Coturnix japonica: one gene and its partners. The protein of the gene in region 7 purifies or fractionates together with the protein of the main gene of each other region. This does not show direct contact. Links are inferred from orthologs where the notes say so. Each region holds a gene or a part of one and is shown on either strand. Other genes may lie near its edges.

Region 1 (4,166 bases), on a different chromosome or scaffold from region 7:
ATCCCATTCCCAGAGATGAGCTGCTGAACGGATTTTCCACCAGCTGTAATGAACGTTATGATCTTCAAACACAGCAGCGCTTTTTCAGACAGACAGATGCCATCTGGAAAGCAGGGAATGCCTTTTTCCCCCAGTACATTTGTAAAATAGAGGTTGTAACAATGCATTAACAAAGCGCGTTAACAGCATGTCCTTTTGTTTTTGAAATGCAAAGAAAAACCATTGCCTGACCAAGTCAATTCAAGTTACACTGTTAACTCATAAAAGAGCCAAATAGCACCTCAGGTGAAACGTTAAGGTTTCACTTTGGGTACAGACTTGAAATCTGTTAAAGTGAAGATGCATACAAAAAATTGCTACAGTGAATGACTTTTAGCAGCTAATAATGTATCTCAAGTAAAATTCTTTGCATAAAGCAGAAAGATTCTTGTCCTTAAAGCTTGAAACAGTAGCATAACAGAATAGTCTAGCTTACCTTATAAGCATTGTTTCAAAGATTGATTGTATTTTGAATGCAGAAGAAAAAAAAACGATGGAGGATAAGCTCCATCTTTTCCTTCCCATGGCTTATCTACTCACTCTAGGGAGGAAATTGTTAGCGTGGAGCCATCCTGTGAATTGCTATTAATTGTTGCAGTTTCAGCATCTACAGTATTAAAACTGTCCCTACCTCTTCACAGCAACGTCTGCTTACAATAGCCCTGTAGTCAATTCTACTCCATAGATGATCTCTTAACTTTAAGAAATCAGGAAATAGCTTTCTCCAGTTTTTTCCCAGAGCCCACGGGAAAATCTCATACTTTGATTCTTCATTGTCTTCTTCCACGTTATTTGCCAGATACCTTGAAATATATGTTTGTGCCTGTTATTCAATCTTGAATCGGTACATGAATGTGAGTTCTAACACTAAAAGACACAGTAGTTATTTTTCCTAATATTTTGGGAAGTTTTAGCAAGTTGTTCATCATTATGAATCATTTCAGAGCAAACGACATGAAAGCTTGCAAAAACATTAAACGAGGTGTCTTATAAGAGAAACATGAGACATTCCCATCTCTCATCTACTGTCCTGTGTTGATTTTACTGCATATTTATTTTAATGCACACAAAGCTCAGAGATCAAGAGTTCTGTAGGCAAATCTAATGTGAAGATCATGTTTCTTTCCTTCATATAGAACCCAGAGCACTACAAACTGGTCATGTCATCTTACTGTGTATCAGAGTCATCAAAAAGCAACAAAGTAATGCCAAAACTTTGCTAATAAAACTAGATGAGTACTTACAGAGCAACAAAGAAGTTGAGCCTGGTGTGCTCCTCCGTTGTGAAGTTAGCCCTCTTGAAGTAAACAAATGTCATTGCCAAAAGATACTGTTGTAAAATGTGAAACGTCACATTTATTATTAAGTATTAATGTATTAATTCGATATAACACTACGGAAAACTCTTGGAATGTTTGTCTCACACCAAAATGCTGTGTTGTGTCTTATCAACAAGGAAAGCTTAAATTGAGTTTTCTCAAGGCTCCCATAAAGATGTATTAGGAAAAAAACAACTGATATCATAGTATCAAGTGATTAAGAGCAGACTTTCACTCAAGGTAGATTGCATTAACTACTAACATTTACCTTGTCTGCAATTTTACAGCAGCAATCCATCCATAGAAAGTCTTGAATTAGATCATCATCTACAACAAAGATGCTCGTCAGCACATCGGTTTAGCCTCTTTGCATTTAACTTAACCATTAAATATACCCTGGAATTTAACAACAGAACACGTTTAACCTAAGGCACGGCTGTTAGTACCTATATCAACAGCACTCCCCATATTATCACTGAGTTTACAAAGCATCCTTCCTTGAGAGTCCTCCACAGTTGAGTCAATCGGTATCTAACAGCGACCTACCGAAGAGCTTAAAGAAAGCCGTCATTTCCTGACGCTGAATAACGAGACACGACGCCGCTGGGTGTCCAGAGGTGCCTTTCGGAACCCTTTTCTCACACATTTCTCGACGGTTTCTGGACGAAAGCCGCTTCGCTCTGACCGGCTTTTTTTGCTGCTGGGTCCTGGAGGCGCTGGGCTTTAGGTGAGCAGCAGGAGGCGTGTGACACACCAGGCTGTGTCTCATTGCGGCAAGCAGAGGTTCCTGTGGGAAGGATTGAGTTAGTTACAACAACTGCTCCGTGCTGTTCAAACCCAGCAGCCGCTGATACAATCATCAGCTGTATCAGTACTAGGCAGCTGGTTTTCCTTTAGCTCCTTTGTAACCATAAACACGAAGATACCAGGGGAAGCGTCAGGAAAGCTATTTTCCATCGGGATGAAGTGGCTTTACTGTTTCAGCAGAGCCCACCGGAGGGCGGGCTGTGTGGAGGGCTGTGACTCAGCTGCCACACTTACGATAAAGCTTCTCACGAGAAACAACAGTGACATTCGCTTCCCGCCCAACGAGCGCCGTCACACCGACCACCTCAGGCACAGCCCCGCCTCACCTCACAGAACAAACAGCCAATCGGTTCTTAACTACCCCGCCCGCCGGCTCTCCCACGGAGCCCTGCCAGCCAATCAGACGAAGGCACGGCTGTTGCTAGGTAGGGAGTGGGCTGGTCCCAGCGGCCCGGTGCCCCCCCCTGCGGTAAAATGGCCGCCTCGCAGCGCTGTGTGGCGCTGGTGCTCTAACCACTGTAATAAGCTCTACCCTCCATAAAGGCATCACCGAATCACCAAGGCTTGAAAAGACCTAAAAGACAGGCTGAGGGAGTTGGGTTTGTTCAGCCTAGAGAAGAGAAGGTTGCGGGGTGACCTCATTGCAGCCTTTCAGTACCTGAAGGGAACTTACTCCCAGGAGGGGAGTAAACTCTTCAAAAGGGCTGACAATAGCAGGACACGGGGAAATAGTTTTAAGTTAAAAGAGGGAAGATTTAGGTTGGATGTTAGGGGGAAGTTCTTCACTAGGAGAGTGGTTAGGCCCTGGAACAGGCTGCCCAGGGAGGTTGTGGATGCCCCGTCCTTGGAGGTGTTCAAGGCCAGGTTGGACGGGGCCCTGGGCAACCTGATCTAGTAAAGGTGTATGTTTGGTGGCCCTGCCAGGCAGGGGGGTTGGAACTACATGATCCCTTCCAACCCGGGTCATTCTGTGATTCTGTGATCATCCAGTCCAACTATTCACCTATTACCAATAGCTCCCACTAAACCATGTCCCTCAACGCAACTGAAACCTGGCCCAGCTTTAACGTTACCAGCTGTCTAGTCACACTGCAAAAGCTTCCCTCCATTTTAACAAGATGCTTTCAGAAAAAGAAGCAATAGTGAAAAGATGTGATTAGGCTGATTGAGCATCAAAAGAAGGCAGGGCTCCACACGAGGCCAAATTGTCTCACGGCAGGAGCAGACTGGGATGCAACAGGGAAATGTCAAGGTACTCTATCCTCCTCCTTTCCCAGCACCTCTGTATGATTTGTCTCTATCCAAGGACAAGCAGATGTTCAGTGTGGCCAAGTGCTGAGTGATGTAGAAAATGAGATGTCAGGACCAGCTGAGGGAACTGGGTCAGTTCAGTCTGAATTCTTCAAAGAAGAATCCTTCAGGTCACCTCCTGACCTCCTTTCTTTCTACAGCTGCCTGAAAGGAGGCTGCAGGGAGGTCTGCTCTCTTTTCTCAGGTGACACATGATAGGATTGATTGGTAGGATTGCAAAACATAAAGCTACAATAATAACTGTGAAGTAGATACATTCTTATTCTTTGCATCGTCTGATTTGTATTCCGCACAGTGCCAGGTAAAAAGAGGTTACAAAGCAGATTCTAGAGGTATTGCTGTCCACTCTCTGTAAACCCTTTTGCACAGTCTCCCACCTCCCAGGAGTCAGGACTCAGCTGTAATACAGACCAGCCTTGTAACTTCATCTCAAGACTCTGAGGAAACTGAAGTTGTGAAGGGTGCTCTGGCCTCTCTTTGGAGGTGATGAGCTTACTAATGCCAACCTAGAAGCATTATGTATGTTTGCAAATGAACAGTTGTTTTATATTCTTGAGTTGTGTATCTTACATGCAGGTCTCTACTGGGCACACAGTAAGAAGTTCTTTAACAGGGTGAAAACAAGGAATCAAAACTTTACCAGGTTGTAAATCCTGTGCACTATAGAGGACCTAACCGGTTCTCAGCCTG
Region 2 (3,996 bases), on a different chromosome or scaffold from region 7:
AGCAAGAGAGGCAAGACGAAGACCACTGTAACAACAAGGCATGTTGCTGGTCCCATCTACTTATCTATGTGGAGGGAAAAGAAAGGAGAGGGTGGAGGTCCTGCTGTCTTAGGGGAAGTTCTGCAACTTGTTATCTTCCAAGTACTCCAGGGAGGAGCCACCCATCTCAGCTCCAAAGCCTGATACCCCCCCAGCTGTGAACTATCTCTCAGCTCGCCAATGCCAAATACTCAGTGTCTTCAAAGGAGTCTGAAGTCATTTCACGCAGAAAGCTTCAGAGAAAGAATTCTAGGTTGGTTCAGCTAAATCTGCAACTTGTCTCATTGCACATGATACTTCCCTACATGTATTGATTAAGCACATGAAGCATATGCAAAGCTGTAATGGCTGACAGCCTTCAAAATGGTGACAACTGAGCTTCAATTACGGTCTTTGGAAAGAGGGAGATTCCTTATACAAAGGATAACAAAACCTGCCGATGAACACAGGAACATTTCCTGCAGAGCTTTATATCGAGGTAAAATTACCTTAATTTCATATTGATGTTTCTTAGCAATTTTCCCATCTTCTTTCTTCTTAATCTCCTGCTGAATAAAGAAAACACAGTCAATAGGTTGACAATGAGCAGCAAACCCATCTCTAACAACACAGCAAGCTGGTGCTACTCCTTTCTGTGGAGGAAAGGTGACCCCCATCCCAGTGACCAGAATAATGTGCAGTATTAAGTCAACTGAATGGGTCACCTCTGCTGTTCTCCTCTTCCTGGTCTGGAGAAGCTCCGGTGCCTGCAGCTCACGTGGAGTCTCTTCTTGACACAGCAGCGGCGGCTGCTGCTGCTGCTTGGCCTGCAGTCGGCTGCTGCAAGGGGCAGAGACACTCAGTGTTAAGGGAGCAGCAGCTTTGAGGGGAGCAAAGGGCACGTGGGTGTATCACCATGCAGACAGCTTACCTGCGTCTTGACATCTTCGGGCGGTAAGATCTGTCTACCTGGACCAAAGGAATAACAACCAAATTAAGGTATATTCTCAAAGTTGTGCCCTAACACAGTGCAACTGTGTTGCTTTGAGTCTCACATGGCTCAACAACCCAAGCAGGGCACTGTTATTTGACCAGTGCAAGGCACACCTTGCACGATATCCCTGTGCTTCACAAGCACCCACATCCCTTGGGGGTGTTACGATGCTAAACCCAGATCCCCACAGCGCATCGCTGAGGGATGGACGCTCCTTTACACAGCTCCTATGCCTACCTGAGTGTGGGGGGGAAGCAGCAAAACGGCCTTTCCCATGTAAAAGGGCACAGAGGGGGCACACACACACGTACACATCTACACAAAGGGGGATCCCTCCCGCACCCCCCACCTGCCGGGCCGGGCCGCCCCTCAGCGCGGGTTCCGCGCCAATTTGCTGAGCGGGGAAGCAGAGGAGGAGGAGGAGAAGGAGGAGAAGGCGGCCTCTCAGCGCCGCGCCTCGGCCGGCCCCGGGGCGAGCGGGGCTCAGGCGGGGCTGGTTGGGGGGTGGGAAGAAGAGAACGCCGGCCAAACTTGGGGTCCCCGCGGAAGGCGCCGATCAACCCCAGGCGGGGCAGCACGGGGTGTCTATTTGTGCTGCAAGGGGTATCTGTGCTGCACGGGGTATCTGTCTGTGCTGCACGGGGTATCTGTCTGTGCTGCACGGGGTATCTGTGCTGCGGGACCTCGGCCCTCCCTCCCTTCCTCTCGCTCCCGCCTCGGTGCGCGCCGGGCTCCCTCCAAAACGCGGGAGGGTTCCGGGACGGCGCCGCCACCTCACGGGGATCCCGCGCTCACGGGGACACCCCGACACGGCGGGGACGCTCCTCTCAGGGGACACGTCCCTGTGTTGAACGGGGGCAGCGCGGAGCCGAGGCCTCGCCCTGGGGGACGCGGCCGGCCCGGAGCGCCGCGGGGTGCGGGCGGGCGGCAAACGGGGTCAGCGCGCCAACGGCGCTCCCCGCCCCCATCGGCGGCGGGAGGGAGGGAGGGCAGCGCGCCGGGACGGGATCCCGCCGAGTGCGGGGCTGAGCGGGGCTGAACAGGACGGTGCGGGGTTGAGCGGGGCGATGCGGGGCTGAGCGGGCTCGGATGGGCGCCTGCACCGCTCCGCCAGAGCCGCTCTCCCTCCAAAACGGCGACCGGGCGCGCATGCCGCCCGCCGCTCCCGCCCGCGCCTCTGCAGCACCCGCAGCGCTCAGAGCCGCACCGCCCCGCACCGATCCGCGCAGCTCCAGCACCGCACCGCGTCCCCAGTGCCCTTACACCCCTAACACCCCTAACATCCCCAGCGCCCCATGCCTCCATCCCCCCCATCCCGCCATCACCGCACCCCGCTGACTCCTTCCCGCCCGCTGCTCCCCGCTCACCTCCTTTGCTGCCGCCCGACCCGCGCTGCTCCCCTGCCGCCGGCGCCAACCCGCTATATAGCGCGGCCCGCGCCCGCGCTGCGCATGTGCGAGGGCGGCAGACAGCTCCCCCGCCCCGCTGCCCCAGCGCCGCCCCTCGGCCGCGGCGCCCACCCCGGCCCGGCGGGCATCAGGAGGGAGCCCTGAGGGAACCCTACGAGCACCCTGCGGGCATCCTGCGGGCACCCTGCAGTCGCCGCCGCCCGCCCGACCCCGGCTCTGCCCGCCTCGGTTTCCCCCGTGAAGGCGACCCGCGGTAGTACAGGCAGGAATGGCCGCTCCGCCGTCCCCGCCCGTCCCGCCATCCCCGTCCCCACGCACGTACCCATGGCCCCGCATCACCGTCCCTGCCCGCCGCCCCGCTCCCGCAGACACCCGCTGTACCGGCCCCACGCTCCGCGCACGCCGCGCTCCCGGCGAGGCCCGGCCCCGGGGCGGAGCCGCCGCCTCCATCCCGCCAATGGCAGCGCGCATCGCGGCCACAACGTGCGGCGGCGGCGGAATGTAAACACGCGCCGCGCGCCGCTCCCGCCGCAGCACCAAGGCGGGGCCGGGCCGCTCCTCCTGTCAGCGCGGCTCCACAGCGCGGCCAAACGCAGCCGCTGCTCCGGGCGCCACGGACTCGGCGGTGCTGAGGGGAAGGAGCCAACCGCCGGGCACCGCCTCTATGTCCCGCCGCTCCACACGTCTGAAGCAGCAAGAAGTGCATCCAACTGGGAGAACGGCCTCTCCTTGTTACCTGAATAAATCAGACCGAAAGCTGCTTTCCCGTATTAGAAAGGCTGTGCACGGGTATTCTGCTCCAACAGCCAAGTCATTCACAAAGATGGTCTGCCATTATAGGAGTAATGGAATCATAACATACTCAAGTTGGAAGGGTCCCACAAAGATCATCGAGACCTGGCTTCACACAGGACCACTCAAAGACCAAATCTTGAGGGAAGGGATGTTAGGGGGAAGTTCTTCACTAGGAGAGTGGTTAGGCCCTGGAACAGGCTGCCCAGGGAGGTTGTGGATGCCCCGTCCTTGGAGGTGTTCAAGACCAGGTTGGACGGGGCCCTGGGCAACCTGATCTAGTAAATGTGTATGTTTGGTGGCCCTGCCAGGCAGGGGGGTTGGAACTACATGATCCTTGAGGTCCCTTCCAACCCGTGTCATTCTGTGACCAAATCTTGTTTGAGATCATTGCTCAAATGCTTCTTGAGAAGAAGTTGAGTTGAGAAACAATGGTTCACGGGAAGGCCTTCTCTGGGCCCTAATTAGAAAAGTCAAGCACACCCCAATGCGACACCCATCCATTTCAGATTGAACAGACAGGACAGAAGGCTGACACTTTTAATAGGCCATTTATTGAGTTCACGTCTCCCCACAGTGCGCGTAACGCACCATGGAAACAAAATACAGAAGACCACTTCAGTAAATACACACCGTGAAGCAATGCTACTTTTTGGCAAGGTGCTGTATTTTGTCAGCTTTCGGCTTGTGTTAGACTAGTAAAAATAAGAGCGAGACATTCTTCCATATCAAAAAGACTGCTACAAATTCAAAGTGGCTCTGGAAAGAAGCTGCCGTATATGC
Region 3 (4,119 bases), on a different chromosome or scaffold from region 7:
AGCCAGTCTCTGCATGGGGAACCTGCCCCAGAACAGAGCTCATTCACTCAGAGCTTACACAACCAACACAACAGCAAGGAAACCTGGAGCCACTGCCACCATGCTGGAAGCAAGGCCTGCATTCATCCTGCTGCACTCTCGGTAGCACCACCAGCACCTCCTGGGGTATTCACCAACAAACAGTACTCACAGGGCCTGTAAAGTTCAGACTTAGGCATCTCCTCCTCTTTAACACAATGATCTGCAAACATTAATAAAAGCATCTAAAGAAGTGGAATGCACATCCCACTAATGCTACAACCATGATCTCTGGGTAATGAATGAGACGTTAAGAATCAGCTGCAGCTGTCAGAGCTAATACCTATGACAAAGGGAGCCCTTGGGTTTTCATTCCCTCTCACGCCTGAGGAAATGGTGTGTATGGGGCTCCTTGCCATCCACCCCAGCACTGCTGTCACACGCCTATGCCTCTGGAGATGGGTGTTTGTGTGTGTGGGAGGCAGCACGGGGATGAGGTGAGCTCTGGCACAGCCCCGCGGCCTGTCGAAACCTCAAACCACACTCCATGTGCATAAAGGAGCTCTCGCTCTTCCCACAAAGCCCATCGGTGAGCCGGCCCTCCACGCGCCCAAACCTGCTTTCCCAGCACATGCAGCACAGAGCAGGCCCCGCTGCCTCACCTGACCACGTTGGGGTGCTCGAAGGTCTCCAGGTGCCTGAGGACGGCCACCTCCCGGATGGTGGACAGCGGCATGCCCTCCTCGCTGGTCTGCACCCGCACCCGCTTCAGCGCCACGAAGCGGCCGCCATTCTTCAGGTCACGGGCCTTGAACACCTTCCCGTAGGCCCCCTCGCCGATCTCAGCCACGCACTCATACTGCTGGTCGGCCAGGTTGGTGCCGTCCTTGTCCATGCTGCCGCCACTCCGCTTCCTCCTGGGATCCAGAGCAGCTCAGGACAGCTCTGCTCTCTGCTCGCTTCTGAAGCCGGCACCTCACTGCGGCTCAGCCACACGCCGCCACCTCTGCCTGAGGGGCAGCAGGAACCCCTCGGCCTCCTGCTCCGCTGCACCGGCCCCACTGAGCCTCCGCTGGCGGTCACCAGAAACGATCATACAGTCTTTGGGAGCATGGTCTGTGCGAAGGCAGATAGATCTGGAGGAGAGACCAAGCAAGAGGGAGCAGTCAGAACATGGTGCCATTGTGCTTTACTTCACTTTGTTACTCTGCGCGGCTTAAAACTGAGAAAATGATGCTAGCACAGCAGAGAGCTGCACGCACAAAGGAAGGTGCAAACCAGAGGCTGCCAGGCAGCGTCACTGCACAGCTGACACAACCTGGGTCACTGCTGCAATGTGCCCAGGCTGCAGCACGGCCAGAGCGACCACATGGTTGGGCTTCCCCCAAGCAATGGGGGTTTTCTGAGAGATGGGCAGAGCGTGACTCTGAGGGACGTGGGTGGTATCCTCCATTAGACGACAGAATCTCTACACTCATGGGACAGTTAAGTATGGCAGGCTCCTCAGGTTCCTTGGTTCCTTGGGCATCAATCACATGGAGCCCCTGAAGCCCATCCCATGCTGTACAGCCAGTACTCACGTGCAAATGGCAGCACTGAGAGGCTCCAGCTTGGAGCTACTCTACCCTGTGCTGTGCATTGCAAGAATACAAGAACGCACGTTCCTGCCTCGTGGAGAACTGCGCGTATATATTCACACATACATGTACCGTAAGATACCAGCATGTTTCTGAGCACCGTTTGCTGGAGCACAGACGCACGGCCCTCAGCAGCCTAATGATCCACTACTAGGACCCGAGCGTGGCTCCCAGCTGACTGCAGCGGGACGGGCGCCGGGTGCGAGCCTCGCTCCGGAGCAGCGGCTGCCCTGCACGGCGTGGGGCTGCGCCACTTCCCCTGCGCCCCGATTCACCCCCACCGCCACGGCACGGCCACGAGCAAACGCCGCTCACAGCGGCACGGCAGCCCTTCCTTTCCTCCTCGCCCATTCATAACCAACGCACCCACACGGTGACCGGGGGCCGCATCCCCCTACACGCCGCTCTAGCAGGAATAGTCCCTGCAGCTCGGCGGGGATCCCCTGACGGCACCTACGGCCGCGGCTCGCGGCTCCCAGCCCCGCCGTTGAAGCGCCCCGAGGCGGCCCCGCTCCCCGTCCCCGCTCCCGTCCCTTTCCCCCCCGCCGTGTGGACACCTGCCCGCGCCCCGCACTCAGCCCCGCGCCCCCGGCCCTGCGGAATGGCGCCCCCCGGCGGCGGGCGGCGCGTCGCGCGTGTGCGTGGCGGCGTCCCGGCGTCCCGGCGTTCCGGCGGGCCTGGCTCCTCGCGGCCGCAGCGCCGCCACCGCCGGCCGCCTTCCCCCGGGGCGTTGTGGAGCCGGGCCCCCCGCTCGACACCGCTCGGCCCCGCACGCGGCGGGGGCACGCTGCGATCCGCCGTCCGCCCGGGGCCTCGCAGGGCCCTCCCCTCCCGCCGCCCCCCGCACGCCGCGCTGACCCCGCTCCGGCCGCGCGTGGGCTCGGGGCCGCGGCCGCACACACACGGGTTCCCCGCGTTACCTGGTGCGCGCCGCGGCCGCCCGATCCGCCGGCGGCTCCCCAAATAACCCGCAGTCCTTTGGGGGGGGGGGGGGTTGGGAGGGAGGGGGTGAGTCCTCCCTAAAACAAACCTCCCATTGAGCGAGGCGGGGTGGAGAGCCGGCCGGGGTCTGCCCCTTCACATGGCGATGTCTCCGGCAGGTCCCGGCCGCCCGGGCCACACAGGTAGCTGCTCCGCCGCCCGGCCGCCCCCGGCCCGCATCCCCTCGGCGCGGGAGGCAGCTCCCGCTCGGCCCCGGCCCGCGCCTCCCACCCTCCCCCCCCCGACCCCCCCTTTCCCCGCCGCCCGGGGAAAAGGAAAATCGCGGCCCCCGGGGAGCAACGACGCCGCCGCAGCAGCAGCAGCAGCAGCAGCGAGCCGCCCGCAGCCCCGCGGCCGCAGCCCGCCCCGGAGCGGCCCCGCTGCCCGCCCGCCCCGCTCCGCTCCGCCGGCCCCGCTCAGCCCCGCTCAGCCCCGGCGGTGGCGGCAGCGCTCGCTGCTTTTCTGTTGTGTTTTTTTTTTTTTCCTCCCCTCTCCCGAAGCCTTTTTCCCTTTCTCTCCCCGCTTTCCCACGCTGGCTGAATGTGACTTGACCCCGTTTCAAAAAAGTTTGACATAGTGCTTCAACATTTCCGCATTCCTCCCCGACTACAAAGGCTGCAGCCGCCTCCTTCTGCTTTCTGTCTCTGCTCTCTGTCTTCACACTCAATGAAATCCTTCATCTGCCCCTGCCAAGCCGCCCGCATACCGCAAGGGTCGCGGCGAGCGGCGCGGCTCGGCGCGGCCCGATCGCCCCGGGGGGTCCCGGCGCTGTGCGGTGCGGGGCGGCAGCGCGACATGCGGGGAGCTGGAAATCACCGCGCCGGGCGATGGGCTTTTTCCTCCCCGGGAAATAACCTCCTTTTTTTTTCCCCTCTCCCCAAAAAATCACTTTGTTTTTTCCCTCACCCCCCCCTCCCCCCCTATTTTTTTTCCCCCTCATAATTCCCCCCCCACCCCCACCCCACTTTTTTTCCCTTCTTTTTTTCCCTCTCCCCCCTTTTCTATTCACACAGCACTCACGCACTTTGGGGAACCACCAAGAAACTCTCGTTTTGCTGAAGTAATCCCCCCAGCTGAAGTAACCCCCTCACCTCCCCGTGTTCCTTATGGCACCTGCAAATCGTACTAAAATGCACCGCAAGAAAAATACGGCAACGCTTCACCCATGTGCTCCATCTCCACGTGGGGAGCCTCATTGGCAGCTCTGTGCCTTCCAACACACGGCACGGCCCAGGGGTGGCTCCGGGGGCAGCCCTTGTCAGGGCTGAACTGGGAGAAAGTGGATCCAGGTCTCCTTCAAATGGGAAATGTGATTTAACGAAGTGAGTTTATAACTCAGAAAGTGTGTGCTGTATGTATGGCATCATACGCTGCGTGATTTCCAGAAACTAAATATTTATATATAGATAGATCTAATACTGTACAAACAAATAGAATTCCTATCAGAAAGAAGCATGTAATTACTCCATCTGGATTTGCAGCG
Region 4 (4,250 bases), on a different chromosome or scaffold from region 7:
GAATTGCAGAATGGTTGTAGTTGAAAAGGACCATGGAGGCCATTGGGTCCAGATTCTTGCCCTGCTCAGAGGCAGCTGAAGCTGCTTGCCTGTATCATACCCAGGTGGCTTTCAAGTACCCCTAACAAGGGAGACTCTACAACTTATTTGTTAACCTCTTCCAGTGCTCCATTGCTTTCTGGGTAATGAAAGACAAAACGTGTATATATAGAGTATATATAGAATTTCTTCTTGTTCCCCTTGATGTTACTGGCTAGGTATAATCCTGTCTGGGTTTTAGCTTTCCTAACCTAATCTCTGTCTGCTCAGGCAACTTTGTAGTCCTCCCAGGTAACCTGTTTCTGCTTCCATTCCCCATAGACTTTATTTTTGAACTTACATAAGTGCAGAAGCTCCTTGTTGATCCTTAGAGACCTCCTGGCCTTTTTTCCTGCCTCCTTATTTATGGGGTTGCACTGCTTCAGGGCTTGGAGGAGATGGTCCTTGAATACCGACCAGCTTTCTTGGTGGCTCCTCTTCCCTCTGAGACTTCCTTCCATGTCACACTGCTAGGTGGTTCCCTGCATATTTCAAAGTCTGCTCTCCTGAAGTCCAGAGTAACAAGCTTGCTGTGCATCCTCTTTGACACCCTAAGGATTTTGAACTCCACCATTTTGTGGTCACTACAGCCAAGGCTGCCCTTGAGCTTCACGTTACTTACCAACCCTTCCTTGTTGGTGAGCACCCTTTCAACACCTTCCAGGAACCTCCTTGTTTTCTGGTGCGCTGCTGTGTTGTCCTTCCAACAGATATTAGGGTGGTTGAAGTCCCCTATGAGGACCATGTTTTGTGAATGTGAAGCTGCTCCTATCTGTTTATAGAGGGCCTCATCCACTCAGTCTTCCTGATCAGGTGGCCTGTAGCAGACCCACACTACGATGTCTCCTACCCTTTAACCCAAACCCATAAGCTGTCAGCTCCTTTTTTATCTGTAGGTGGAGCTCCAGGAACATCAGGTGGTCATTGATGTAGAGAGCAGCACCCCCCCACCCCCTTTCTCCCCCGCCTCTTGAAAGAGTTTATACCCATCTATTCCTGTGTTGCAGTTGTGAGAGTCATCCCTCCTCATCTCAGTGATTCTGTTGACATCGTAGCCCTGTAGTCATGCACATGCGTGCATTTCCTCCTGCTTGTTCCCCATGCTCCACATGTTGGTGTACAGGCACTTGAGTTGGACTCAGAGATTTACTATGATAGATCTCTGTGTAACTTCTAAAGCTAGCTGAATTCCTAATGAAAATCTCTTTTAATGCATTTTATAGTCTTCCCCCACCCTCTAGAGCATGGGTGTCCAACCTTTTGGCTTGCCTGGTCTGTGTTAAGAGGAATTATCTTGGACTGAATAAGCATAAGTTACTCCAAAAATAATGCCTTCTATTAAATTCCATGGAAAAGTACAGCAGGTACAAAGAGCTCAATAGCATTATTTGGTAGAATAAATTCTCAGCTAGAAAATGGTCTCCTTCACTGTAGCCATCACCATTAGCTGTGCATTTTCACCAGTGGGGAACAAGAGTTGTGAAGTGAAGGATTATTTTTCTCTCATAAGAGGTCTTACAGAAGTCTGGTAAAGAGGTGTGATCAGATTTCTTGTTTTCAATATCTGATTGTAACTCCATTTATTCAATTTGAAAATGTGCACGTAGTGTATTTATATCAACTGAAAAGGGTGTTGTGATCACAAATCAGTGAGTTTTTGAGACCTATTCTCAGCCACCTGTATCAAAATGGAAAGCCCAGCTGCATATTCTTTGTTGTTTGGAGCAGTGCATTTAGCCAATCAAAATGTATACAATTACCTGCCATCACTTGAATCACTACTGCTTTCCCTAAGCACGCTTTCAGTCAACACAGTATTAATAGAGCACTGATGGTTTGGCTGTTGCTGAGCAATGGGTGTCTGTGGGGCTGCTCTGGTGAAGAGTTGAGATGGCTGCACTGTTTGCTGGGCCATGGGCTGGATGTGCCTGCTGTAGTGGGCGCACTTGTAGCCCTAGTTGGGCACCCGGAGCTCAATACTGTCATTTTGTGTTAAAAGCTCCTGAGACTGTTCAAATTCCAAAGGCTGCTAGACACAACAGGTCTAGAATTTTGAGGCAGTTGCTCATTAATGTTGTTTACTATTGTTTTTCCAAGTCATTTTGTAAGTTGACACTTCAGAGTGGTTAATTTTATTACGATAAGGCAGGTGAAACCATGCGAGCGAGACTAACAAACTCTCGCTCTGGTAGGCGGATGCTGAGCAACATACACTAGCAAAATACCTCATGGAACTGACGCTGATAGACTACGACATGGTGCACTACCACCCTTCAGAGATCGCAGCTGCTGCCTTGTGCTTGTCGCAGAAGGTTCTGGGCCACGATAAGTGGGTAAGGGTTGTAATGAAAATCATGGGGGTTTTCATCCATACAATTGAATTGAACCCTTTAAAAAATACTTTAGGAAATAGTTCAGCAGAATTGTTGGAGATCAAATGACTGGCTGATGCACAGCTAATATAAAATGATGATGCCACTGAAAATAAAGCTTACTCTTTCCTATATGAATGCCATGATACAGTGATGTTTTTTCTTATGAAACTGAGTGACAGGAGAGCAAACTGTATCTTTTTGGTTTGGGTTTTAGGTTTACTTTCTTTTTTAAAGGAGATACCGATTTTGTAGCTTGCAAGAAAGCTAGACTAAATCATAGACCGTGAATAATGAATCGTACCTCAGCTATTAGTTACTTTTGCAAGGCATCCTTTTGTTCTGTATGGTGCGGGAATGTGACTCAGCTTTGATGTGTTTAGTCTTCCACTGCATACTAAACATTATTCTGTATCTGCATTTTTATCTGTCAGTGCTACAACTCCCAGCACTCAAGGCCAGCAGCTGATACCTGGGGCTTTAGTGAACTTAAATAATTGTGTCTTGAGCGAAATTCTCCCCCTTTATAGAGGCCACATTTCTTATGTTGTGCTGCAGGGTACCAAGCAGCAGTACTATACTGGGTATGCAGAGGACAGTCTTACAATGACAATGAAGCATATGGCCAAGAATGTCGTCAAAGTAAATGAGAACTTAACAAAATATACTGTAAGTACATCTACTTAAGTAAGTCTTCTGATGCTTTAGAAAGTCACCTTTACTGCATGCTGTGGTTTCCTAGATGAACATTTTATATGTTACCTTACAGCATATTCTATTTTGACAAGCCTCTGAAAAGTTGTTCATGAGTACTAACATCAAAACTCTTTATCTAAACTACTCTTGCTGCTCTGCCTGCTGCTTTACTTCTGCCCCTTACTTTCTTTTGTTTGCAAAACAGTCAGACTAACTCAAAATCGTCTGCCTGGATTTAAGAACTGTGCATGTGTGTAAACTTCCTGTAACACTGTTCCTCCGCAGGCTGTAAGGAACAAGTATGCAAGTAGCAAACTCCTGAAGATCAGCACAATCCCTCAGCTGAAGTGTAACGCTATCAAGGACCTTGCTGCATCACTCTTACAACCCTAGGTAGATATATTCTGATGATATATGCACTTTGTGTCATCCTCCTCATTTGCCTACTGAGGAAAAACTACTGCCCTGTGTAAATAATATTCCAGCCCTACCACCAACATTTCAGACTCTCTCTCAAGTTTTAAACCTACTTTGTACTGCAACTGTATACCTAGAAATAAAGCTCCTCTTTCAAAAAAATAAAACAAACCAATTCTGCCTGCCATTTGATGTTATGGTAGGACACTTGTCAGAGTGGGTGGCTGATGCGCTTTGCATCTAGACATGGGTGATTATTCTTTGTGGTTGTTTCTGGTGATAATCTGGCTTCATAGTGGGTTATATTTAGTAATTTGTTCTCACTCTTGAAGAGAGGCAGGCTGTTAATTGTCCCTTGATGTACCTTAAGGGATGTTTGTTGTTTAGTTTATCGCAGTGTGTTGTCTCAAAGAAGTATTCAAAAAGTAGTTTGACTTCAGGCTTGGGAAAGAAGTAGGCTGTAACAGAGACAGCTTTGTGAGGCTTTGTGTTTACGTAGTTAGAGTGATGATGGACAACTCATTTTTCTATCTTTGTATGCCTAAAGAAAGAGCAGAGGCAGCAAAAAACCTCTATAGTCACAACTAATGGTATGCTCAAAGGAGTACAAGCATTGTAAGTGCCTCAGTTATTTTGCCTTGCTTCATTCATGCCTTTCTATTGATGTAGTACTTAAAATACATTTAA
Region 5 (4,023 bases), on a different chromosome or scaffold from region 7:
CAGCAGCAAGGGAGGTCCCCATATAAAGGGGTTCTCTGGTTCTATCAGCTAAGCTGAATTCAGATGTTAGGATCTTTTTTTCAGACAAGAAAACATTCTGCCTTTCCAAGCCTATGCAGCTACTGCCCAAGTGTCTGATGGGACTAAGCAGAGCAGCCCTGCTTTAACTCAAGACCTGGAAGCAGGGCCTGGGAAGCAAGCTGCCAGCATTGCTATCACCTCAGCAGCACTGGCAGCACAACAAGCCTGATCCTCAGTCATCCTGCACCCACCCATTCTGCTGGGTAACAGCTCCTAAGGCTTCACTTCCCCAGCAGGGTGCAATGCAGCTCTCCTGCCATGCCCAGGAGCAGGGTGCAAAGCAACTGGAACGGAGCAGAGGGGCACGTTCCAGTGCCCGCCTCCTGCTCGGCCGCAGAGCAGACAGGGCCTTTGTTCCCCACAGCTTGCTCAGGAGCACACTCAGGAGCAAGCTCTGTGCTGGCAGCCAGCACATAAGGCACAGGAAGTTTCTCTGTAATGCGGAGGTGACAATCCTGCTTCCCACAAGAGGGAGAGAGGCTGTGCCAAGGAGAGAAAAGTCTCCACCTACAGACATCAAACCCACCAAGCCAGAGAGGTGAGAAAGTTGGCTGGGGAACCAAGAGGAAGGTTGAAAAATGGGACAAAAAGCACAAGGAGACACAGGGACAGGTATGCTGCCAAGCAGCAGCACGCAGGAGATAGAAGGGCGAGGGAGGGGCTGGAGGTCCCTTAGAGATAGGGGTGGTTACCAGGAGCTGCTGAGGCGTGATGGAGTTTTCTGTGTAGATGCAGAGCTTCTCCACTGTAAGGGGCATGGTTTCCCGCAGCTTGGAAGCCAGCAGCATGCACACTGCACCCAGAAGTTGCAGGTGATTCTTCCGCACAGGGACAGAAGACAGGTAGCGATCCACGTAATTCATGGCCAAGGGGAACACCTCCTCCTCACATTTCTGCTCCTCACACACCTGAGAAAAAACAATTAAGAAAAAAAAAAAAAAAAAAAGGAAGCTTTAATCAGCACCGGACTCCCCAAATCCTGCCTGCACCAGCTTCAAAGGGTCTGGTCAGGATGGTGTTTCACACTTATCTGCAGGGCTGTGACAGCACCACAGCGCAAAGGTGCAAATGAGCTACAAGCATTAAGTCTACAGCTTCCACAGTAGCAACAGATTCTACCAAAGCTGTAGACATTCATCTTCCTGCAGAAAACAGAACTTGTATGTGGTTAGAGAGAACCCAACTGCCCTATTTGCAGCCTCCTAACTCCTCCTGCAGATGCCTGCAGCCAGTTTATCAGCTTTGGAGAGCTGGGACGATGGGGGAAAACTCATCCTGCCAGCAGCACCCAGCTGGAGAGCAGCTTGTGCAGCATCCCCTGCCAGCCCCCAACTCTTCCTCAGCCACACTGGCACCACCGCCATGAGCAGAACACCAGGGCTTTCCATTCCAGCCCTCTGCTCCCATCTCAGCACCACAACCCTGGTCACATTCACTCCTTTTTCCCAGCACAGCCATACAAATACAGCAGTTTCTCCTCACGGAGCACTGTGCTCCCCCAGCAGCAGCCCTGCATGGGCTGCACACAGCGCTGGGAGCAGTGCCAGGTGTCTCCTACTTTTTGACAGCCTTACGAGCTCCCCAGCAACAGGCTCCAAAGCAGCGTTTGTCTAACTAACCTCGGAAAGGGAACTGCAGGAACAGGACAGCGCTAATAGGAAGAACGACAGACAGACTCGCTAAAAGCACCGTGCCCCATCGTTTCTTTTTGCCAGCACTGGGCTCCATCCAAAGTCATCTGCTTTTTGCACAACGTTCTTTCTTCCCGTGCTGGCTGCACGCTCTGGCCGCCGCACCGAGAGGTCCCCTAAGGCGTCCCGCACTGCAGCGCATCCCACAGAGCCGCATTCGTTTCTCATTTAGGGAAGGAAACGCCAGCGATATTATTTCCCCCTTCTAACGAGGCGTCCTCAGCCCCGCGCAGGACACGCGATCCTGGGCACCGCCACCGCCGCTCAGCCCCAACCCGGACACGTTACGGAGCGCGGTGCGGATGGGGCTCCCACAACGTTACCGGGAGCGCGTGTGGGTGCACAGGCTGCGGCTCGGGGCTCCGCTCCTCCCGCTCGGGCGATCGCTTCCAGCACAAGCGCTGCCCCTTCGCTCCCCCCCCTCACCCCGCAGCCACAGCCACAGCAGCACGGACAGCACGGACAGCACGGACAGTACGGACAGTACGGACAGCACGGACAATAGGGACAGTACGGACAGCACGGACACGACTCCTCCGCCGTCCCCCGGCCGCCCCGCAGGCTCCACGAAGGGCCGTGCCGGGAGCCGCTCCGCTCCCCGCCTCTCGCCGCCTCGTTCCCGCCAGCGCGGGGACTCGCGGGGAGGGACGACGGGCGCACGAAAGCACCGGAGCCAGGGCCAGGAGCCGAGCGCGGAGGCGGAGAGGAGGCGCCGACGGGGGCAGTACCTCCAGCATCCAAGTGGCCACCATTTTCCTCATGTAGGGCTTGATCTCGCGCTGCACGCACTGGAAGTAGGACACGCGGGGGCTGTAGCGCTCCTCCTGGCTCAGCAGGTTCTGCAGCACCCGCCGGTCCCCCAGCAGCTGCGGGTCGCGCCCGGCGCGGGGGACTCGAGCCGCGGGCTCCACGCACAGCAGCTCCATGGGCGCGGGGCGACGCGGCTCCGCTGCTGCGGCCGCGACACGCCGGGAGCGGGCGGCGCGCGGGGGGGCGGGGCCTCGGCTCAGGGGGGGCGGGGCCTCGGCGATCGCAGCCAATCGGCGCGCGGCTTTGATGGAACGCGCCGAAAGCCGGAGCTGGACACGCCCACCCCCCCAAGTGGCGGGACGGCAGCACGTGGGGCGGCCGCGGGAACCGCTGCCATGTTGGGGGGAGCGGCCGTCCCGGACCTTCCCGGACCCGTCTCGGCCCATCCCGGACCCGTCTCGGCCCATCCCGTGGCCGTCTGCCCCCCCGCCCGTTTAGTTTGCGGGAGCTGATCTCGGCATTGACCCCAGCGAGGCCGAGGTGCACGTGAGGGTGAGGGATGTCCGGGCAGACTCCAAAGGAACAGTCCCCGGGCTCCCAAGGGATGCACGTCAAACCCGTAATTACCATTTCTAACAGTAATTTTTCAGCATTTACTCCTATTCCTTTCCCCGCTTTTTGTGGCCAGAGTCTTTCAAGGCTACACAAATAATCAGCCGCGTACACAGCTCGGTGCCAGTCTGTACTTACGCTGCTGCCTTCCACAAGTTGCCCTCACGCTGTGAGTGGTGCAGCTCCTCAGCAGATAGCAGCCTGTGTCTGCACAGATAAGGCCCTTCAGGGCTCTGCTGTTTGTTCAGAACAGTTAACAATCGTTTGGAAATACTTATACAAATTGTACCTGAGCAACTTCTTCAGGAATTGTCAGGGTCGCTCAAGTCTTTCTAATGAATTTGCAATGTGCTCCTGCAGCACAGGGTTTGTTATGAGCTGCTACTTCATTCAGATACTTGCAGGTGGCACAGCAGCAATTGCTTTGTGGCATGGGAAGCTGAAGGCAGCAGGATACACGCCCGCCCATGTTGCTCCATACAGTTGCAAAGTGTCTACAAAAACTGGGATGTCTCAACTTTGCTCCTGACACTTCTAACTGCCTTATCCTTTGAAATGAAGCACCCCTGCAGCACACGCTCCTGTAACACATCTCTGCATGGGGCACTTATTCAAATACAGAGTGTTATGCATCACATTCTGGCTGCGCTGAGGGAAGATACACAGAACTGGATGGAGATAAACCCAAATCCAATTCACACCAGCAATCTACCTGCAGCCCTGGGAAGATAATTACTCATACTCTGCAGGAAACAGAATGATGGAGTTTGTAGCAATTGAGGACTCTTGGGATGCAGCGTCATCTAAAGAGGATTCAGCTGGAACAGCTCTGACCAATTCTGCTGGAGTTATTCTGCAGTTATACATCTGTACGTATGTTTAGGGTAAG
Region 6 (3,848 bases), on a different chromosome or scaffold from region 7:
ATAAATGGAAAGAACAAAAAATAATGAAAACCCATGGGATACTTTAATGTCAGCTCTTAGAGAACAGAAGTGAGATGCTGTAAACATGGGGAAATCAAGACTGTACACCATCTTAGTGTTCACACTGAAGTTTTCTCACCTGTATTTCAATTTCATACGTCTGTGAAAATTATTTAACTACAAAACTTTAGGTAGAAAAATAACTGCACATCTGGTCTATATGTGTTATTAATATGTACCAGTATGAATTTCTAGTCAAGATACAGTTCAATAACTCTTTGGAATAGAACACAAAGAGTACATATATTGAGAGCAAGAATACCTTATTACTGGCATTCTATAGCAATGTAGTATGGAGTATTTTTAGTCATGGTGTTAAGTCAAAACTACACTTTCAAATAGAACCCAACTTGTTTCATGTTAGCTTTCAAGCTCAGCCTTGAGATCAGGAGAAATCAGAAAGAATGGTAACCTAGACCTCAAGGACCATTTCCTATGCCTTCAGGATACAAACCTTTAATACGATCACAGCATTTTCATCCAATAAAAGAATAAGCCGAAGAAAGAAAAATAAATGTAAACCAAGTTTATTTTGCTTTTAAGTAGTGTTCTTTAAGCACTACAGCATGGTAAACAATGTAAATTAGTATAAGTCATCTCAAAAGCCAGAGGGTTTTTTTATTTTATGAGTAGTTAAAAAGATGCAGCCTATTCTAACAGGATAAATATTTTAACCATTTCACTTCGAGTTAATGAAGGCTCACAAATGAGCAACACTCCTCATTGAGGAAAACAAAAAGCTGTTGTCGACAAAGCGACAGCACACACACAAAAACAAAAGAACTGTGTAAAAATAACTAACTGTACTGTGTTCCCATACGCTTTAGAAGTTGCTTTACAATGGGATGATATGCACATGATCTTGCTGCAAACTTGCCATACAACTTGCAAATACATGTAAGCCTAGCCTTTACCCACTCAAATCCAAAAAGCTGCTAATTGATCAGAAAAATTGCAGCACTATAATCCTCTGCTTAACAATTAATTAAAACTGTTTTACTCATTACTTTTTCTCCTAGACTGTAGAGCAGGCTAGAAGGAAAATGATCCCAAATTAAAAATTGATACTCTTACAGGAAATTGTATAGTTTTGCAATATAGTCCTTTACAATTTATGTTTTGCCTATTTTCCCCTTAGCCACAAAAATGGGCATGAAATAATTACTTTGAAAATGCAATAATTTTCAATTCATGCAATTCTAAATAAAGATGACCAAACAAAAGCTTAAACAATGGAAGGATATTTCACAGAAAATTTCTTATACAAAAAACACATAAGAAAAGAGGGCCACTAGGTGACATTTTAATTTACAAATTGGCGTCATTTTGGTCAACAAATATCCAAGTGCCGTTTTCTTCTGTCACAACAAAGTGGCTGCACAGAAAGAAAACTGCAGAACTTGTTTTTTAATCACACATCTCCTCGGGAATTTCATGTGGATTAAGGATGCCAGGTACAGACATCTGAAGTTTATGTTTCTCCTCTTGAGCTTGTCGAAGGGCTGTTTCTCTTTCCTCCAAGAATAAATCTGATGTGTCTTCACCTGCAAATTCCTGCACAATTCACACAAAACCATTACTTCACTTTAACTGCATCAGGAAGAGCAATAAGCTTCTGAAAATATCAAAAACAATGTTGGTAACATCTTCCCTTCGCATCCTTGTCAGACTATTTCTTGTTTTGCTTCCAGCATGTAAGATCAGATTCTAAGACAAAAATTTCTAAGATATTCACCATGCATCATGGTACAGTAACATTGCTTTTTGTTTGACCTTATCATTAAAACAGTCTCTTTACAGTTTTTGAAATATCTACCTAACGTAGCCTGAGAACATCTTTAACATGTACTTTCGTACAATCATCTTTAATTTTAGCATCTTTGGAAAAATAAAAGCAGAGCACTAGTCTGTCAACTTTCAAAACACACCCTAGTCCCAAGCAGAAATGAAACAAGATCTGCTTTATGGCCATTTTAGACCTGTAAGTATGACCAATGTATAAGCAACAGCATGCATTTAAACTTAACCTATACAATTAAATTACACTGAAATGGATTACATGATCCAGTATCTAGACCCTCGAGCCATGACAATTTTAAGTAGTAATAAAATGTATGCCCTATTATAAATGAACACCGTCCAAAAACTTAAAAACATCATCCTGCTACATATTTTTTACAATTCTCTAAGAAACCATGCCAAACATACCTTGATTTGGACCAGGAAATCCCTTAGGTGCTCCTTGAAGGCAGGAATATCCTGGTTTAAACTGAAGAGTCCTGTTACAAACAGCTTAACCTGGGCACTAACAGCAAATACATCCATTAGTACTTCAGTATGTAAGTATCCACTCAAAAGTATAAGACAATTACAGGACACTTACTCTTGCAGATGAGGAAATGCAGATTTGAGGAGATTAGCAACGTATTCTTGAATAAACATTTGGTTGTTCACTGGATTTCCAGGATTCAATGGAGTACTTATTTTTCCCTCTTCTACCAAGTTGAACATGTATGCAAGGATTGATGCATGCATTGTCAAACCTGAACAGATCAAAATTATACATGTTATTATTCAGAACAAGAAATGCAACATTACTATGATGTTTGAAAGGCTTGTTTTCACCTGGTTCACAATCTTACCAGCAGTGTGCGAAGTATCTGTTACAACAGAGAAGATGTGCTGAAGGATATCACAGAAATATGTCTGATAGAAACTCTGAGCAGCAGCCTCTTCTTGTGCAACATTTTGTAGCAGAGTGTAAAGTATCTGAAGTCCTGAAAAATTTGCATAAAAGAAAAATGAACCAAACTATACCAAAAGCTCCATTCATCCTTAAGTCTTTTCAAAGTGAGACAAACATCCCAAGAAATTCTGACAAGCATTGCAGTTTAAACTAATCATTCAAGCAGCCAGTAGAGGGCGGCAGCCACATTTATACTGAGCACCAACATGGTTTTCATTATTAGAAGGCAGAACCACGAAGAGCCAACCACATGATTTCACTGGTACAAAAGTGAGAAACTCTATGAAGACATACTAGTTAATTCAGGAAGGGAAAAAATCACACCAACAGTTACCTTAATACCTGAAATGCAACACAAAGGCATCTTACAAACATAAACAATTAGCTAGTATTGAGGTAGCTTCAAAACAATCATTTTTATCCTGTGGTTGAGATGCTTTCAGAATTTATGACATTTACACAGCTTTTCCTAGCCTTTCTTGGGAACTCTCATCCTAGAGGACATTTAATTACTCAGGTGTGCTAAAAATAGCTTCTCAGTGAAACCTGAGATGAAGTGTAACTTGCTGTTGTTCAAAAGGAGTTTTCCTTTAGTCTGGAGTACTTCCCTTGCTTTATGTCATAGCTGTCTCCCAGACCAAATTCACTCACCATTTTTCTGCTGTCTTTTTCAGTAGTAACTTAGAGACTGCCTAAGTGAGGGAAGAAGTTAAACACTCCAAACAGCACAATGAAAGCTGAAGCAGAAAACCAGCTATGAGCTGTTGCATCGGTTCAGCCATTTCAGAAAAAACCTCACACTCTATAAAGAGAAAGCACGCAGAAACAAATGCCCTCTTCTGTGAGTAAAAACATCCAACTATTTCAGTACGTTAATGGGTGTCTAGTTGTCAACTTGAAATTGAGATAGGAAAATACTGTTCTTCTGCAGCAAATACAGTGTGACTGGAACACTATATTTGACTAAAAATGCAAGAAAGCAGCAATCTACATGCTTAACACTTAAAACCTCAATTTACCTGTATCTGCAACATTTCTCATT
Region 7 (4,283 bases):
GTAAAGGGACAATACATCTTTAAGGAATAAAAAGCCTACACTGCTTCTCTTCATTTCTTTGCTTGCTAGATGGCGAAAGCAAGTCTCCATCGGTCGCCCTCTTCCACTCCCCCCCCCCTTCCCAAAACGTTTATGTGCTACATAAGGTAAAAACTATATACACAGGTAGTACAATGAAGCAAATAAGGAAACACCTAATTGCACAATGCTACATCCGATGCTTTTAGAGGCAGGTCTTTTTTTAAGAGTGTCTAAACTTTTAGTGTTATTGTCTGCTTTTTTTTGTTTGTTTTGCTGAAGTTGTTTTTCAGTGCTTGCACAGGGTCCCCATCCCATGGAGACCGACGATATGTATTCATCTCTACTACGACTTTTTTTTTGTTTGTTTGTTTGTTTATCTTCCTGGCTTCACCGCCCCCCGATGAGCAAGGAAACACGAGTCCTCCGCCCTGCAACGGGAAGAAGACGGGGAGAAGACATTAGAGAGGCTGAAAGCGACGCGCTCCCTTCAACGGGCTCGTACCGCTCCCCGCAGCAGGGAAGGCCCGGCCCGGTCACGGCCCGTGCGTCGTCCCAGCCCCGCGGCACTCTAAGCCCGGCCGCCCCAGGGCCGTCGGCCGCCTCCGCTCGGAGCCCGTGGGGCCGGGCCGCCACCGGGCCGCGGAGCTGCCCCCGCCCCGAAGGAGCGGGCGGTGGTGCGCTATTTGCATAGAGGCGAGGGCTGACGCCTAACCCTAACCCCCCCACCCCCCACAGCAGGAGTAATTTGTTGCAACTTCTGCTTTGCAGCTTAATCTCTTCGGCACAATCGCGAACCGCGTTCGCAAACCTTCCCGCTAAACCCCGGCCCCGAAACCGCCGGCGCGATGTACCACCTCCCTCCGCCCCAGCCCTCGCGCTGAAACAAAACAACAACAAGAACACCACACACGGCTGCCATTAACCCGCTCCCTTCCCTGGAAACTCAGCCAGCGCCTGAAACTAAAACCACAACGACCGGGGAGGAGAAAAATAAAAAAAAAAAGAGAAAAACAACACAAAACCGGAGCACAAGCTCTCCTCTCTCAGCCCAAGAGGCTCCCGCTCAGCCCCGCTTTTATCCAGAGCCCTCCTGGGCCGGAGCTCCCTGCCACGGTGGGACAGTGCGAACGGCGCCGAGGCGGGGCAGCCCCCCAGCACCACGACGCCGCGTGAAGCCCGGTCCCGAGCTCGGGGCGGACACCCCCGAGGCATCCTAATGCCCAGAGCCCGAAGGGAACCTACTCGGGGAGTTTACGTTTGATGTCGTCTCGGGCTCGATTTCTTGGGCGTTTGCTCCACTGAACTGGCACTGGGGGAGTCTTCTGAAACCTCCTCTTCTGTTGTGTTGGCTCTTTTATTTTGAGGAGAGGAATCTAGGAGGGGAAAATTAAAAAACAGGGGGGGGGGAGAAGACCGGTTTAAAACGCTGTCCCGCAAGGTGCTCGCTCGGCACCCGGGGGCGGGAGGAGAGACGGGGCCGGGGCTTATTCCCGCACGTCCCCGCATCCCTACGTCAGCTACCGGGCTACGCGAAGGTGGGCGCGGACGGGCTTTTCTCTGGGCAAAGAGACGCGCGTTTTAGTTTCGCCCCGACTCCGGCGCTCGGAGCGTCCCCTCTTCTCCTCCGCAGAGGGGCTGCCCGAGGGGCGCCACTCGGTCCCGCCGCTCACCCGCGGTCCCCGCCGAGCGCGGAGCTCCGGGCGCTCGCGGGCGGCACCGGGGGCGTTCGGGCGGGAGGAGGCGGGGGCCGGGCCCGGCGCTGCCCGCGGGGTACGTTACCGTCGGCGGCGGGTCTTTTCCTCTGCCCGGCGCACTGCTCTGCAAAGTCCGTCTGACCGCCAGCAACACTGGTCTTCCCGCCTGCACAGTGGGTATCCTCTGAGATTCCCTGAGAAGAGGCGCAAATTGCTGTTTGGCAATTCTTGTTTTCATCCAGGCTCTGACAGACGATGGACTTGCATATGGCTTTGGGTAGCCTCAGTGGTCTGAAGGACAAGTCGGGCGAGCTCCCCTTCTCCACGGCTTGCCACTCGTACCTGCCTTCCAGCGGCTTGTGGTTCTGGAAATCGAAATTCCACTTCCTCTGGCATGCCTCTTCCATTTCCTTGCGGTGCTTCTTCAAGTCCCTGTTTAACTCTTCGTGGTTTATCGGCCCGAAGAGGTTCCTGCAGGCCGACGGCTTCGGGTACTCCGACTGTCGCGCCTCCATGCGCTCCAGGGTAGGGCTCCCATTAGAAATGCGGACGTTTGACATCTCCCCCTCCCTTTCTGCCGTCGCCGATGGCGCTGGGCTTTCTCGCGGCTCTCCCCGCTCTTCCTCTCCGCTCCTTACCCGCGGCCGCTCGCAGGTTCTCCTCCGCGGTCTGTCTCCGTACGGCCCCCTCTCTGCGGCCCCGCCTCGGCCCGCGGAGGAGAGGCGGCGGCGCGCAATTGCATAAGCGCCGGGCCGGCCGAACCCCGACAGCCGCCGCCGCCGGGCAGCCCGGGCGGCTCCGGAGGGGAGCGGCCGAGCGGGGAGCGGCGCTGCCCTCCGCGGCCCCGGGGGCGGCCTCGCGCTGCCGTCGGCACGGCCCCACCGCTGCCCGCACGGCCCCGCCGCTCTCCCCACGGCCACGTCGTACGGGCGGAGAGGGAAAAAAAACAAGGCGAGACGAGCCCTTTTCTCAGTTGCCCAATATGGCGATTGAAGGGAGGTTGACGAAGGAGAAAATGATTGACAGGACGAGTCTATTTAAACAGCGGAGCCGAGCCATTGGTTACGGCGGCCGGCACCGCCCCGTCGGCACGGCCATACCTCGCCGCCGCCGCCGGCTCTAAAGGTGGCCCTGGCCGCCGGCCGCCCCTCGGCGGGCGGGCAGAGCGTGGGGGGCACGGCACGGCTCCGCTCCGCGCACGTGAGCCCGCCTCCCCCTGCGGAACATAAGCCTGGTGAAAGTCACGCGAGTCGAGGGGACTAGCTGCATTTTGACTCGTTGTGGCTATCGCTCTGCTTGCACAGGGTTGGGCGGGCTGGGAGCTGCGCTCCGGCTGAGGCGGGGGAGAGGGTCACTGCCCAGCATCCTCGTAGTGCTGCCCGCAGGAGGAAAGGGAGAAAGCGAGGGGTGGCTTCTGCTGCACTGCCGGCAAGGAGGGCCCAGGTGTGGAAGGAGCTGTAAGAATTCTCAGCAGGGAGCTGTATTCTCAGTAAGCAGGGGAAAGAGAATGAAAACCTTCAAGTTTGTGTGTTTTGAAAGGTTAGTTGAGCCAGGAGTCATGGGCAGGGATTTTTGAGCTGTTTTTCTGATTGCTGCAGCAGGTCCGCTGGAGTTAAGAGCAGTGCAGGGTTCTCCTCTGGGCTCTCCTTGTTCACACTCACTCACACTACAGTCAGCATCTCTTGCTCAGCAGGACAGCCCCACACACTGCAGGATCTTTTCAGACACTGGAGGTTTGGGACTTCCCCAGGGCCCAGGTAACCTGGATACTACAGACCCCACATACCAAAGTGTCTGGCCTGGCACCCTCCACAAAGTCCAGCTGTCCAAAATCTTGTGGCCTTAAAGCTTTGGAGCTTTTGCCCCATCTGTACTCAGACACACACTTTGCTTCAGGCCTTGCAGTTGCAGTGGGCCACCAAAACCTACCCTGTAGTTGGTGCGTTTTGAACTGGAGCCTCACCTGTGCAGGCACTGGAAAGGGAACAAGATCAGCATTTAATGCTTATCCCCAGAGTATGGTTGTCTGTGGGCCTCCTTCCCTAAGGCAGCAGCCCCCTGCCTTGCTCAGCCTTCTGTCCTGGGTCAGCCTCTTGTCAGCACCGAGTTCAAAAAGGGATGTGAGCATCCAAAGAGAAAAATAAAAACACTTAAAAAACACAAGGTTGAAATAAAATGTCAGCCCTGCTATTTTTGTTTGCCAGAACTTTTACCACAAGTTGTTTTCCAGCTCCTTTCAGCAACCACAGGATCTACCCATTCACAGAGACTTGAAGCTGACATCCTGATGTCTGCATCTTTAGGTGTTTGCTGTTGGGATTTCTGGGTTGTTGGGTTCCTTTGCTTTGTTTTTTGAAGTTGCAACTCTGTAGAAGAAAAAAAAAAAGCCTGTGTGAGGTGGCAAAGTGGGACCTACTCATCTGCTTCATTCGAGGGCTTCTCTTTTTATTCTCCAGGCTTTCCTGTCTTTAACTTAGCCACCAGAGTTTTCCACTTCTCATGTGAGGTGTGGGACACTTGGGTTGTTCCCTTTAGCTGTGCACATGAGTGGCTATACAGCAGGAACAT

Evidence for each region.
Region 1: the proteins of CDKN1B (region 7) and SPDYA purify together in Homo sapiens (affinity purification with western blotting; 3 studies listed by BioGRID). This does not show direct contact. The link is inferred for Coturnix japonica from reciprocal best matches to the Homo sapiens genes CDKN1B and SPDYA.
Region 2: the proteins of CDKN1B (region 7) and CCNE2 purify together in Homo sapiens (co-immunoprecipitation; 5 studies listed by BioGRID and IntAct, with this or other methods). This does not show direct contact. The link is inferred for Coturnix japonica from reciprocal best matches to the Homo sapiens genes CDKN1B and CCNE2.
Region 3: the proteins of CDKN1B (region 7) and CDK6 purify together in Homo sapiens (affinity purification with western blotting; 8 studies listed by BioGRID and IntAct, counting the BioPlex papers as one, with this or other methods). This does not show direct contact. The link is inferred for Coturnix japonica from reciprocal best matches to the Homo sapiens genes CDKN1B and CDK6.
Region 4: the proteins of CDKN1B (region 7) and CCNB2 purify together in Homo sapiens (affinity purification with mass spectrometry; 3 studies listed by BioGRID and IntAct, with this or other methods). This does not show direct contact. The link is inferred for Coturnix japonica from reciprocal best matches to the Homo sapiens genes CDKN1B and CCNB2.
Region 5: the proteins of CDKN1B (region 7) and CCND3 purify together in Homo sapiens (affinity purification with western blotting; 9 studies listed by BioGRID and IntAct, counting the BioPlex papers as one, with this or other methods). This does not show direct contact. The link is inferred for Coturnix japonica from reciprocal best matches to the Homo sapiens genes CDKN1B and CCND3.
Region 6: the proteins of CDKN1B (region 7) and XPO1 purify together in Homo sapiens (affinity purification with western blotting; 4 studies listed by BioGRID). This does not show direct contact. The link is inferred for Coturnix japonica from reciprocal best matches to the Homo sapiens genes CDKN1B and XPO1.

The regions. Positions count from the first base shown.
Region 1 is NC_029518.1:10,154,300-10,158,465, forward strand, and holds the start of SPDYA (speedy protein A), read right to left. Parts: upstream 2,801-4,166; 5' UTR 2,433-2,800; coding exon 2,400-2,432; exon of another isoform or gene 2,285-2,399; intron 2,146-2,284; coding exon 1,905-2,145; intron 1,686-1,904; coding exon 1,627-1,685; intron 1,370-1,626; coding exon 1,284-1,369; intron 843-1,283; coding exon 671-842; intron 1-670. UniProt on the Homo sapiens protein: Regulates the G1/S phase transition of the cell cycle by binding and activating CDK1 and CDK2.
Region 2 is NC_029517.1:114,473,130-114,477,125, forward strand, and holds the start of CCNE2 (G1/S-specific cyclin-E2), read right to left. Parts: upstream 2,801-3,996; 5' UTR 2,744-2,800; intron 2,450-2,743; exon of another isoform or gene 2,380-2,449; intron 988-2,379; 5' UTR 964-987; coding exon 950-963; intron 859-949; coding exon 744-858; intron 588-743; coding exon 528-587; intron 1-527. UniProt on the Homo sapiens protein: Essential for the control of the cell cycle at the late G1 and early S phase.
Region 3 is NC_029517.1:20,819,641-20,823,759, forward strand, and holds the start of CDK6 (cyclin-dependent kinase 6), read right to left. Parts: upstream 2,801-4,119; 5' UTR 2,686-2,800; exon of another isoform or gene 2,576-2,685; intron 2,133-2,575; exon of another isoform or gene 2,022-2,132; intron 1,155-2,021; 5' UTR 914-1,154; coding exon 681-913; intron 1-680. UniProt on the Homo sapiens protein: Serine/threonine-protein kinase involved in the control of the cell cycle and differentiation; promotes G1/S transition. Phosphorylates pRB/RB1 and NPM1.
Region 4 is NC_029525.1:5,820,795-5,825,044, reverse strand, and holds the end of CCNB2 (G2/mitotic-specific cyclin-B2), read left to right. Parts: intron 1-2,270; coding exon 2,271-2,411; intron 2,412-3,008; coding exon 3,009-3,119; intron 3,120-3,431; coding exon 3,432-3,539; 3' UTR 3,540-3,750; downstream 3,751-4,250. UniProt on the Homo sapiens protein: Essential for the control of the cell cycle at the G2/M (mitosis) transition.
Region 5 is NC_029541.1:4,749,139-4,753,161, forward strand, and holds the start of CCND3 (G1/S-specific cyclin-D3), read right to left. Parts: upstream 2,801-4,023; 5' UTR 2,699-2,800; coding exon 2,501-2,698; intron 990-2,500; coding exon 774-989; intron 1-773. UniProt on the Homo sapiens protein: Regulatory component of the cyclin D3-CDK4 (DC) complex that phosphorylates and inhibits members of the retinoblastoma (RB) protein family including RB1 and regulates the cell-cycle during G(1)/S transition.
Region 6 is NC_029518.1:5,218,714-5,222,561, reverse strand, and holds the end of XPO1 (exportin-1), read right to left. Parts: coding exon 3,826-3,848; intron 2,838-3,825; coding exon 2,703-2,837; intron 2,604-2,702; coding exon 2,444-2,603; intron 2,366-2,443; coding exon 2,269-2,365; intron 1,615-2,268; coding exon 1,468-1,614; 3' UTR 501-1,467; downstream 1-500. UniProt on the Homo sapiens protein: Mediates the nuclear export of cellular proteins (cargos) bearing a leucine-rich nuclear export signal (NES) and of RNAs.
Region 7 is NC_029516.1:66,307,377-66,311,659, reverse strand, and holds the start of CDKN1B (cyclin-dependent kinase inhibitor 1B), read right to left. Parts: upstream 2,801-4,283; 5' UTR 2,276-2,800; coding exon 1,801-2,275; intron 1,395-1,800; coding exon 1,273-1,394; 3' UTR 1,264-1,272; intron 450-1,263; 3' UTR 1-449. UniProt on the Homo sapiens protein: Important regulator of cell cycle progression. Inhibits the kinase activity of CDK2 bound to cyclin A, but has little inhibitory activity on CDK2 bound to SPDYA. Involved in G1 arrest. Potent inhibitor of cyclin E- and cyclin A-CDK2 complexes.